Linked DNA regions of Drosophila melanogaster. The protein of the gene in region 2 purifies or fractionates together with the protein of the main gene of each other region. This does not show direct contact. Each region holds a gene or a part of one and is shown on either strand. Other genes may lie near its edges.

Region 1 (6,544 bases), on a different chromosome or scaffold from region 2:
TGGTGCATGAAATTCGACGTGCTGTGGCACATTAGAAACAGATAAGCGACAGCAAATTTTCGTTTTCCAGCCCAGTTTTCCTTCGTCTTTCTAGCTACGCCCCCACCCCTTCGGAAATCCCTTTGGCAGCCACCCCTTTCGGATAGATTGTGTTTTACGTTGCTCGCATTCCTAGCCTAATGCTGGAATTTCAATTTTAAAGACTAACTTGATTACCAGATGGGGTGGGGCGGCGCAAGGAGCAGGGTAGTTCCCCATTGTCTCTCGCATGAGTTGGCCCAAAGTTACTCGCAAGGATCAAAGTGACATAAGTTTGCCGTTCGCTGCCGACTTCGGCTACAGATTTGGCTTTGGCTTTGGATTCATCTTCGGCTCCAATTTATCTAATGCCAGCTAAAGTTTTTAATGTAATTAAAATGGCTAAAGCCTAAAGAGTGTTTAAAACCGGCAGATATCGCAGCTTTAAGGGGATTCCCCCACGCGGCATTGGTTATCTAGCACACACACACACGTACAGATTTAGACACACACGTGCGCGTTGTGCCATAAAGTGCTCAAGTTACTTGCGAGGATTACCAGTCGCACCCCAGAAGGCGCCGCCCATTCCTACTTGCCAGGCGATCCTCAAGCTGGACAACGCGGCGTATGCGTCATGCGAAAGCAATGCCCGGCAGCAGCAAGGAGTTTTTAACATTTTCCAAATGCTGCAACGTTGATTTTGCCTATTTTTTTCTCGCTCCTTCGACCAACGAACGAGAATTTCCCACTACACACAAGGACGCAGGACGAAGGCGGAGGGAGCCAGGACGAAGGACCCTGGACCGGTTGGGTGGCACAGGATGTGCGGACGGTCGCACAGATGAGGCGGAAGCACGGACAAACAAACGGATAAGAAGGCGTAGGGCCACGAAGGACGAAGGACGAGGAGTTGCTGTAGTTGTAGCTGGAGCCCAAGAACGAAGCGCACATGGAAGATAAGCGCACAGAGTGTGGCGCTGATAACGCAGGTCCTGCTGCCGCCTGTGGGCCGCAACTAGAGGGATGGAAATCGGGGGGTGACATGCCGGGAGGTCCTGTGAATTTTAACATTTTAGAGAAAATACGAACGACGAGAGCTTCGAGCGACGAGCTAGAAGTCTGAAGCGAATTGCGCGAACTACGGGTGTGGGATGTGGATGTGGATGAAATCGGGTGTGTATGTATGTAAGTACAGTCAAGCCTCGTTCAGTGCATTCTTGTGAGCTAATTCAAGGGAAATAAATTTATATTTACAACATTTTAATTTGTTGGTAAACAGTAAAGAACTGAGAAGAAATCAAAACATAAACACAAGTTTTACAATTAGCGAACATCGAACATGCTTAATAGGTATCCAAGCATACATTACACAAAGCGGGTTGATGTTAGTATAGTTTGACTGTGCCAGCATAGCTGGAACGAAACAATTTGTAATTTATTTGCGAAGCGTGCGATGTGCTCCGGCTCTGTGCGAAAAGTTGAGGCAGCTGCCAAAGGCGTAGCCATCGACCAGAGACAGTGGCTCCAGCTCCGGCTCCAGCTCCAGCTCGAGCACCATCTCCTGTTCCCGTTTTCCGTGCATCTGAAACCGAAACTCTGGCAGAAGCGCTGCTCTGATCTGAGGCCCAAAAACTGGAGGCCGGGAGCACGCGTAAGCAGATACTCTGATACAGATACAGATGGTGCTCGGGCTGCGCCCCCCCCCCCCCCCCTTTCGGAACACACTCACACACAGAAGGGAGGATGGGGGAAAGGCGATGCGTGGGTGGTCCTGGGTCCTGGGGAAACGGTGGATGTACTGGCATCCAGCCGGGGTGGTTCTCGCTGCTGCCTTGCTCTTTAAAGACCTTTAAAGTTTAAGCCGAATGTCAGCCATAAAAAGAATCAAAAATAAAACTTGGCAACAAAAGTTTAGCAAGTTGGATAAGCCCAAATAAAAAATATTAAATTGAACTCATCTTAGGGCGGGAGAGAAGACAACGACTCCTTGGAATAGCATTTTCGAAATTTATTTAATGTATTTTATAATGCTTTAAAAGTTTACGCTTTACAATTGGAATTCAAGTTTTAACTATCCGTGTTGTCGTGTGAGTGCGGCTTTAATTGCGTTTGCTTAAGTTTTGTCTTTGTCTTTGTCGTTGCTGTTGATTAATGCTCAACTGGCCAAGCATTTGGAATACAAACTGTTCATATTAATTGTACATGTTTACGATAATCCAAATTGAAGTTTGTCTATTGGAAGTTGTTTCTTGACTACAGTCGGCAGTTTCGAGTGGGTGTGTGTTAGTGTTCATGTGTGGCTAAATAATCTATCTCAAAATACAAATATCAAGCACTTTATAAACCATTATATCTGTTATCCAATATTAAATACAATCGTTCATATCAAAATTCATGTTTTTCATTGTTTGCTAAGTAATTATTGCTATGGTGGAAGAGCGTTTAAGCTCTGCTAAGTACAAAATTCTCTTTTTGCGAGTTCGAGTATTCGTCTATTGTTTGCTGGCTGTGAGGCTATCTCGGGTGTAAACCAAAAGGAAAATCGGATTCGGGCTGGGTGCGTGTGCGGACCTCTCTATATCTGGTTGGTAACGCTTAATCAGTCTTGTATACAAACAAATTAAAATTAGCAAATTGTCTACAACCAAGCTACGTGGCTCTCTTCTCGCTACACTTCGTTGTCAAGCAGCATTTTCTAGTCAAAAAAAAAAGGGCAGTTTATAATAGTTACACAAACCATGGGGGATGGGCGCTGCTAGTGGAACATTGAGATTAACTTGCACTTAGTTAAACCATATTTTAATTCGACACTTACAAAACAAATGATATCTTTGTTGAACATGTACACGGCGGTTATACATAGTTACCTTTGCATCAATAAATTAGGAATTAGAGTAGCAGAATTAAATTACAACTAAAATTACGATACGAGACAGAGATATTCAGGGAACTCATGCATCGCTATTTACAGGGTCTAGCGCATTTTAAAATGGGATTTGGAGAGCGTCGTGTAAATGCAATCGACTCGCCGTCGCTTCGCTTTGCTTTGCCATCTTGGCCTGGGCTGGAAGTCATGAACTAGTGGGGGCTTGGCTTTCGGGGCTTTAAACGTGGCCTAATACTTGGTAACTTAAATGGATTTCGATTTACAATTGTTATCGCCAGGGGCCTAACACTTAGAATTTACAACTTGTAACAGGGGAGCGGGAACCGTGGCGTAGAATATTGGGGAGCTGGGGGCGAGGAGGCCTTGTATCCCTCCTCTAACTCCGGCTGTCGTTGCTCTCGCTGAAGCTCTGCTCACTGGATTCGCGTCGGCTGCTCACCGGCTTGGCCTTGTACTCTGTGATGAACACGGTCACCGAGTTGACCGTCACCTCTCGCGTCTGTGCCGTCGATCGGTCCACGTTTTTCAACCGTGCCGGATACCGCTTGTGCCTCTGCCGGTCGTGCCCACTGCCATGCCGTGATCCGGAGGCGGACTTCCCGTTGGGCATGTTGACACTGGCTCCTGGCAAAGTGGCGGCCTGCTGGGCGACTAGCGCTGAGTTCAGGCGTGGCTTTCGCGTGGAGGTTCCTAAAAAACAAGGGTGTATAGTCTTATTGAGCGCACCAAAAATAGTATATAAATAGTTTAAAATTGTTTCAATTAGCATGTTTATCGTTTCGAGAAGTATTCCCGGTTTCTGCGCAGTGTGAATTTATTTATTCTACGTAAGCAAATCGATACCATCGTTGGCCATCTAATCAACAGTCAACAGTCTTTTTTTGACTATTACTATCTACAGTTCAACCAGATATATTCCAATATTGTTAATACCGATGTGTGTGTATCCTTGTAGAAGGATAAACAAACCGATCCATGACACATGATCAAGAAAGCGAAAATCGGAACATGGCTGGCAATCTGCTCAATCTTGGAACTCGGAAGCGAAAACGAAGCAAAATCGGGGTCACTTACCTTTCCGCACGTCGCACATGCGACACTTGAAGGCCTCCGCCGAGTTTCTATATGTGCAGACGCTGCAGTCCCAGAAGTTCTCCTCGATCACCTTCGCCTGCCGCTTTTGTCGTCGCACCGGCGAGGATTTCTTGTCCATAATACAGGAGGAGAGGAGGAACGCCTGGGCGCCGCTGGAGTAACCGCAATCCAATCGAATCGGACCAAAACGAATCCAATGAAAATGCCCGACTTTTCCCTCTGCCACCGCCTCTGCCTCTGCCCGCCCCTCTGCTGATCCGCTGCTGCTGCTGGCCGTGTTCCTGTGATGTTTGGTTGCTCTGCTCGCACCTTTGCCACGCTCACGCACACACGGTGGCCTCAGTGGAGATTCGCTGCGCTTTTGGCACGCATTTGTTGCTTAATTGGAGCGTTTTCGGTGGCTTTTTGTTGTGAAAAAAACTTTCTGCAATTGTCTTTTTGGCTGCGGCAACATTGCCATATCGTAGAAGTGCTCAATGCCAGGCTATCGATATTTCGATAGTAGCGCGCAGCCAGTGTTGGCTAGCGTATGGTGCTGATCTGGCAACTCACTTTTCGATTGGGCGCCAAACTACGTTTATTTTGAAATGTGGCTTGTCATTGTTTTGTGTTTGCATTTTATTGTGAAGCTTACGCCCACGCTTTTATTTTTCTAGCCAGCCAAAGGCCAGCTGCTTCAGCAACAATGGGAAGGTAAGCGGTTTTGCTTATGTTTACTATAGTGGTGCTTATGGGTAAAGAAGAATTTGGGAAACTTATTAAATTGTTTTTAAGCTACCTCACATATGCTTAAATGACCAATGATGATTCTTTTTGACGCCTTGCGCTCTAGCCAATGGCCTATGTACATACAACCTTAATTTAGCCGCTGGCAAGCATCAGCTGCGTTGTGTTTACTTATAACTTGTATCTGTTCTGTCTGTCTAGCCCCCAGATCACGTTTTATCTTGGCAGTCTTATCATCGGTTCATCCCCTTTGGATTGTAGGCTCCCAGGAAGGTGTTACACTTGCGACAATAGTGGTTTCCAGTGCGGCAACTGTTCATGCAATAGGGAACAAAACAGGCACAGCAGCAGAATCTTTAAAGAGGATGAGACATGAAATATATAAATTTAAGATAAATCAATAAGCAGATAAACTCTACTCCTTTTTATAAGAAACTCAACTTACCCGACCAAACAGAGGAGACCTGCCACCATATGGGTCCTGGAGTTAGCCGTGTGTGTCATCCTCGTAGTTTTGTTGGCTCCACAGGCTGGGCAGAGAACCCTACTTCGATTTGGACCCAAGTGTAGAGTATCTGCAACAGCAGGGAGTGACGTCAGTAGAGCTTCACAGCCGAACTATAACTATGTGCAAACTACACACCTGTTGGAACCACTGTGGGTGGTTGTGGGGCTGGCTGCTCCACGACAACCACTGGCGGTGGTCGTGCTGGGGCGATTGCTGGTGCGGAAACCGCTGGAGCCACCGGAACAGACACCGCCACATCGTACGACGGAGGAGCCTCGATGGGCAGGCCGTTGGCGATGGGATTGCCCAACTCCCTCGTTGGCGTCGGCGAGGGGGCCGTCGGGGCGTTGAAATCCACTTGCGGATAAAGCATGGCTCGCTTCTGATCCATGGTTAACGCACTATAAAACCCTTGCTCTAGTGCGAAGTTCGGGTATGGTTTCGACTTATTAAAATGACTAAGAGATTCTGGTTCTCGCTAAGCGAAAAAAAAAAGTTGTTTACTTTGCGTATTTACAACTAGACGGCGTCTTTTGCACTTCGAACGCCGCTCGCAACTGCCAGCGAATTTGGATCCAGGTAGAGATTCAGTTTCAGTTTTTTTTCGGCTCAGATCGGAGCGAGCTTGGAAAAGCTCCCATCCGGTTGAGCAATCAGTTTTGGGGCTGTTGCAAAACCGAAAGTATCTCTCGAATACTGTTTACCGAGCTTTATCTAGTGCACACAATGATCTTCATTGTTTATCGAACTTATCTCAGGTACGGGAATAGGATGTCCGATAAAGATACAGATAGCCACTTCAGCATAGTCAGTAATTAGTTAGGCTTTTGGCAAATAAAGCTGATATATAGGATTCCAAGGGCGTAATAGTCAGCAGAGTATAATTTAACATTAAGCAAAAAAGCTTTCAGCAATTAAATCGAAAAAATTACTGAATAACTTAACCAAGAATGGCCTAATAATTGAAGTTAAAAAACCAGTTTACTTTGGTTTTTAAGAGCAAATTTAAAATTAAATATTTAGGTCATCAATAATATTATACTTATTTGAAAACTGGGTTAATTTCGCTAACACAAAATAGTAATTCTATGCCACTTTAAAGCTCTTAAAGCGTCACTTGTAATGACGAAATACTTCGCTTTAGTTCAGTTTGCGTGCTGCAGTCCATTTATTAACTAATTACTTGAAGAAAATATGTACACATGAACAGGTCGCCCCCGAAACATTTTTGGTTGCTCATTTGCGATCGTAGGTGCCCAAATAACGATCGCACATGCCACAGTAGTGATTGGTGTTCATGCAACTGGAAA
Region 2 (4,995 bases):
GAACTGCTCCTCACGATCTCCTCCAGAACGACTGCACTTCTTTCCCTCGAATCCCGAAATGCGCAAGGCATGGATGGAAATATGTCGGCTTACGGTGGACAACAAGTGGCTGTTTATTTGCGGCAGACACTTTCGCCGGACTTATCTGCCAAACAAGGGAAACCTTAGAAAGGACGCCATTCCAGAGTTCCACTTAGGAACGGAGGAGGAGGATCCCCTCGGAAAGAGCATCAAAAGTATGAAATCATGTGCTAATAGAAGTAATATCAGTTTCAAGAGCGAGGATTCTGGCATTGACGAGGAAAGCTTTAAGGAGAGTAAGCCTCATAATAATCCATGCGCCAATTGCCTTGATCTCCAACAGCAATTGGCAGCAGCTCATCTTCGCATTCAGCAACTTGAGGAAAGAAGGCAAGAGGAGACAGACAGTGATGATGATGAGGAGGGGGAGGAGGAGGAGCACATATTCATGCTAATGAAGTAGACTATTGCTTCCCTTTATCCCTTAAAGTATATTTATTTTAGTGCATATCCAGTTCGAGTTCAATCAGTCGCTTGTTCGTGTCGTTGGGCAGGCGATACGGCATAGTTGCTGCCATGTTGGACAGGGCTTTGGCTCGCTGCCGGAGTTGCTGCATCTGGGTCTGTTCCAGCGAGCTGCCTGATCCTGCCTTCAGCTGCTTGTACTGCTTCTGGGCGATCTCCATGGCGGCCACTATAACGTCGGGCAGGACCTTGATTACCTCGCCGCTAAGTTGCTTCACATTGCCCAGTACAACATCGACATCGTCCAACGTATTGGGCACCAACTGGGTTTGCCTGAGCAGATCCAACGCTGCATTAAATTTTCCGTCATGATAGAAGTTGAAGAAGATAAGCAGATCCTGCAGCAGCACAAAGCTGCTCTTCATCTTGGGTTCCACATCGATGCTGTCGCTAGCCAGCAGCTGGTTGAATCTCTGAGCGTCTTGGCCAAGGCGTTCCCTTAACGATCCACCTAGCGTGGGCAGGTGCACCACCTGGGCCATCAGAATGCAGATGTGCTTCACGGCCAGGTTGTACTTGCCCGCCATTTCGTACAGCCGCGCCGACATCTCAAAGTTACCCAGCGCAGCCAGTTCGTCGCCCACCTGAGCGGCCATGGTGCGCGTGTCGAACTCCGGGCATTCGAACTGGCGGAAGAGTCCACTAAAAACACAAGAGACTAGACTTTAGACTGACTGAATAAATGTAACATTGCATATAATCACCTGTTAACATCGTTTTGGTCACTCGACTGCCGCTTGCCGAATATCAGATCGAAAATGGTGGTATCAAAGACTCCGCTGTCCACCACAAGATCGCACACACAGGCCATAAACATGTTCCGGCCCTTGGAATCCTTCAGACAGCGCAGTGTGTAGTAGTAATGCAGCGCCTCCGAGGTGTCTGTCCGCTCAAATCGCTGCACATACTGTCGGATAAGCCGAGTTAGGTTCAAGCGCCTCAGTGGCTGCGGATCTTTAATATCGATCGAAAGCAGGGGCTGCGACACACTGCGCGCACTGCCTAGAAGTCCTAGCTCAAACAGCGCTATGGCCATGTGAACTGCATGTGCCCGATTTTCATCTTGGCGCGCCAGGAACTCGATGGCGGCTTCAAACTGGCCGGTTAATGCAAGGGTCTCGAAGTAGAGATACGGCTGCTGCCTAGCATTGAAGTACTTTTCACCATACTGTTCCAAAATCATTGACTGCAGTTTACCATAGTTGTCAGCGTCACCGGGCTGTATCATGGCCAGCCGCATCCAAAGGAAGTCGTCTATGGTCTTGGCCACTTCTCCGTGTACTTCATTGACATCGCAGCCCAAAAGGATGCAGTAAACGGCCTTCTTATAGGCATCGGTGGAGTTGCGTATTTTGTTGGCGTACTGCAGTCGCAGTTGGTTTTCTATTTTGGAATTGGTTTCGCCGGCATTGCGATCTGCAACGAGCTGGGCAAACTCATCGTGGCTACTGCCCGCTTCGCGCAGGAACTCAACCGCCACCTTAACCGCTCCGCAGCGCAATCCGTAGTAAACCAGCGGCCATAAGGGTATTTCGCGGACGGTGTCCACAAGTCCGATGGTCTGCTGTGCTCTGAACCGGTGGTTTACATAGGCCACAACCAACTGATAGCTGTTGTTGGCATAGGATCCACCGACTTGGGAGCACATGAACACACGATAGCGCCGTTCTAGGTACGATTTAGCATAGGTAACAAACTCCGGTCTTTGCTGTCGGCTCTTGATGGGGTCACTGCGCAGCGGCTCGCTGATTTGGGTGACGCAAGCCAGCAGGGTCCACATGTCCGTAAGCCGGCAATCTCCGAAGCTCTGGGACAGATGAGCGAACTTTTGGACGAGATTGGGTCGATGGCTGCTCTTAAGCAGCAGTTCATTGTAATGCCGCAACTCTTGCGCATACACTAGTTCCAGCGGATCGAGGCAGGAACGTGGCTGACAAAGCGGATTTACGATGGTGGGTTCCGGCAGCCGTTGTAGGTCGATAAAGTTCTGTGACGGCGCAATTAAGGCGTCCAGCAGGCGGGTCTTCTCCTCGTTCCATACTTTGTTCATACTGGCCCACCTCTGCTTGTTCGCAGAGTCGCTGATCTGCGAGTATGGGAGAAGTCAACAATGTTTTGACTATATGGTTCATTACTTACATTCTTTTTCGTGTCCTCGATCACCGAGAGAATTGCATTCTCGCGTTCGTTCTTCAGGAATGTGCGCACATCCGTGTCCGCCTTTACGTCTAGCGGCTCGAAGGTTTTCCGGGCACTCAGCGCCTCCAGCTTCTGGTTCAGCTTGGGCAGGTCCACGCCCTTGGAGCCCAGCAGTATGTGACTGGTGAATGAGGTTCATATCGATTATGGTTCACTTTAATTCAGTATTGTTTACTCACGCCTGGATCTCTTTGCAGCCGGTTTGGGTGACGCGGGAGTGGAGCTCCGTGGTGGCCCGCAGGACCTGCTGAAGCGTCCGCTCCACGGCGGGCAGCTCGCACTCTGCCTTCGCGTCATTGTTCAGGTTCTGGGCGCGCTGCAGCAGAGTGTTCAGGTCCATTTTTGCAAATAAATAAAGTTGAGTCCAAAAGCAGCGGCAAGATCAGTGTGACCAGATGTTGGCGCCTCAACTGTGTTAGAGATGACAGTATCGATTCCGGTACGCCTGTGCAAGCAATTCCTAGTGTTGTATAATAGATTAACAAGGAATTTAATGAATATGAAATAAATTTAATATTATTTCCATTAAAGCATATTCGAAAATTTGCTTTAATTCATATATTTATATTTGCTTTAATTCATATATATATATATATATATATATATATATATATATATATATATATGTATATATATATATATATAATTATCAAAGTTATAGTTTTAGTTTTTCAGTTTTTTTCAATATAGTTGCTAATAGTTTTGCCGATAGTGCTACCTGTAGTTTCCACTTGCCATCTCTAAAAACGTGATAAACACGCTTGTTTTGTTTTTAAAGTTGGATCCACTTGCCTGCTTGCAAAATATGGCTCTTTTGACTGAGAAGCGTGTTAAAAAGACACATGCTCCTGCGAGCGACAGTTCTCCGGAGGAATCCGATTCCGAGGGCAGCCAGAATTCAGCCAGCGAAGCGGAGGGCAACGCCGGCTGGGCGGATTCCATTCAGAAGGTCCTGAAGACCACCAAGCCGAAGACCCAAAAAAAAACCGTGCTAGCTCGAGCCAAAAAAAGCCAGGCGGCTGTGCGATTCCAGAAAGACGCCGCCAACAAAAAGCCAGGATTCGATTTCGAGATCGAGAAAGCAGATGTCAAGGAGGAGGACGAAGGCGATAACCATGAAGACGAGAAGCCGCAGGCCTCTGCCTTGGATGCCACGCTAACCAAACAGCAGCGTAAGAATGTGCCCCTCCAGCTGCGTGTGAAGCCCAGTTTCCGGGACATGGAGCGTGAACGAACGCTCCGCAAAGTTGCCACTCGTGGAGTGGTGCAGTTCTTTAATGCCGTGCGCATTCAGCAGAAGGATCTGCAGCAGCAGCTGGAGGAAGCGGGTCCGCTGGACAGCCGACAGGATGCGGTGCTAAACAACATCAACAAGCGAAAGTTTTTGGACGTCCTGATGAGCGGGAAGCGCGCCAAATCCACACCCGTAGATAACGCTGTAAAGAAAGAGGAACAAGAAACGGATGACGACGACGAAGACAAGGGCTCCAGCGGCAAAAAGAAGTCCGAATGGAGTGTGCTGCGCGAGGACTTCATGACCAACAAGAAGATCAAGCACTGGGACGAGGAAGACGACGACGAGGAGGGTCACAATGATGAAGCTGATGACAGCGATTACGATGATGGGGAAGAATAGCTTTAATTACCAAATAAATGTTAGCTTTTCAATTAAGTCGCGTTTATATAATGGTCTAATTAATGGTTTCCGCCTTGGAGGTCATGTAGATGGCCACAATCAGGCCAAACAGTCCGATAGCCGAGCCAAAAATCTCCACAATGAGGATCTTGACGAAGAGCGCCGAGTTGGCCGCATCCGCCAGGGCAGCGCCGGATCCCACGATGCCCACAGCAATGCCGCAGGCCACGTTCACCATTCCAACGCAGAGACCTGCCCCAAAAGTAGCGAATCCCGTAAACATATTGGTCGCCATGACCGTGCTGTCGGTGATCAGACGCACGCTGCTGAACTTGTTGACGTTGCCGGACAGCAGGATGGCCGTGATCAGGCCATAGATGGCCACCGCCTCGCAAAAGATGACTGAGATCAGGTTCTTGGTCTTGATGCGAGGCGATCGCACTCCGCCGCCCGCCACACTGCATCCAATCATGTAGATTCCACTGGCGGCGCCCAGAACGGACAGGGCGCAGGCGAGGAAGATGCCCATGCCGGACCACAGGAAGGGATTCGAGGTGTACAGGAACCAGCCGAGCCCCATGCGCTCACCCATATTGACCATCACGTTGGCGAAG

The links.
Region 1: the proteins of Nup93-2 (region 2) and RYBP purify together in Drosophila melanogaster (affinity purification with western blotting, with the first as the bait; one study listed by BioGRID). This does not show direct contact.

What each region holds. Positions count from the first base shown.
Region 1 is NT_033778.4:22,668,681-22,675,224, reverse strand, and holds RYBP (ring and YY1 binding protein), read right to left. Parts: upstream 4,639-6,544; 5' UTR 4,119-4,638; coding exon 3,980-4,118; intron 3,596-3,979; coding exon 3,282-3,595; 3' UTR 2,013-3,281; downstream 1-2,012. Other genes in the region: CG13516 (uncharacterized protein), read right to left, coding at 4,960-5,080, 5,172-5,301, 5,370-5,625; CG30269 (uncharacterized protein), read right to left, coding at 6,471-6,544.
Region 2 is NT_033777.3:14,895,203-14,900,197, forward strand, and holds Nup93-2 (nucleoporin 93kD-2), read right to left. Parts: upstream 3,171-4,995; 5' UTR 3,086-3,170; coding exon 2,925-3,085; intron 2,867-2,924; coding exon 2,686-2,866; intron 2,633-2,685; coding exon 1,251-2,632; intron 1,245-1,250; exon of another isoform or gene 1,189-1,244; coding exon 522-1,188; 3' UTR 501-521; downstream 1-500. Other genes in the region: CG14860 (uncharacterized protein), read left to right, coding at 1-484; CG3817 (uncharacterized protein), read left to right, coding at 3,551-4,381; VhaPPA1-2 (vacuolar H[+] ATPase PPA1 subunit 2), read right to left, coding at 4,437-4,995.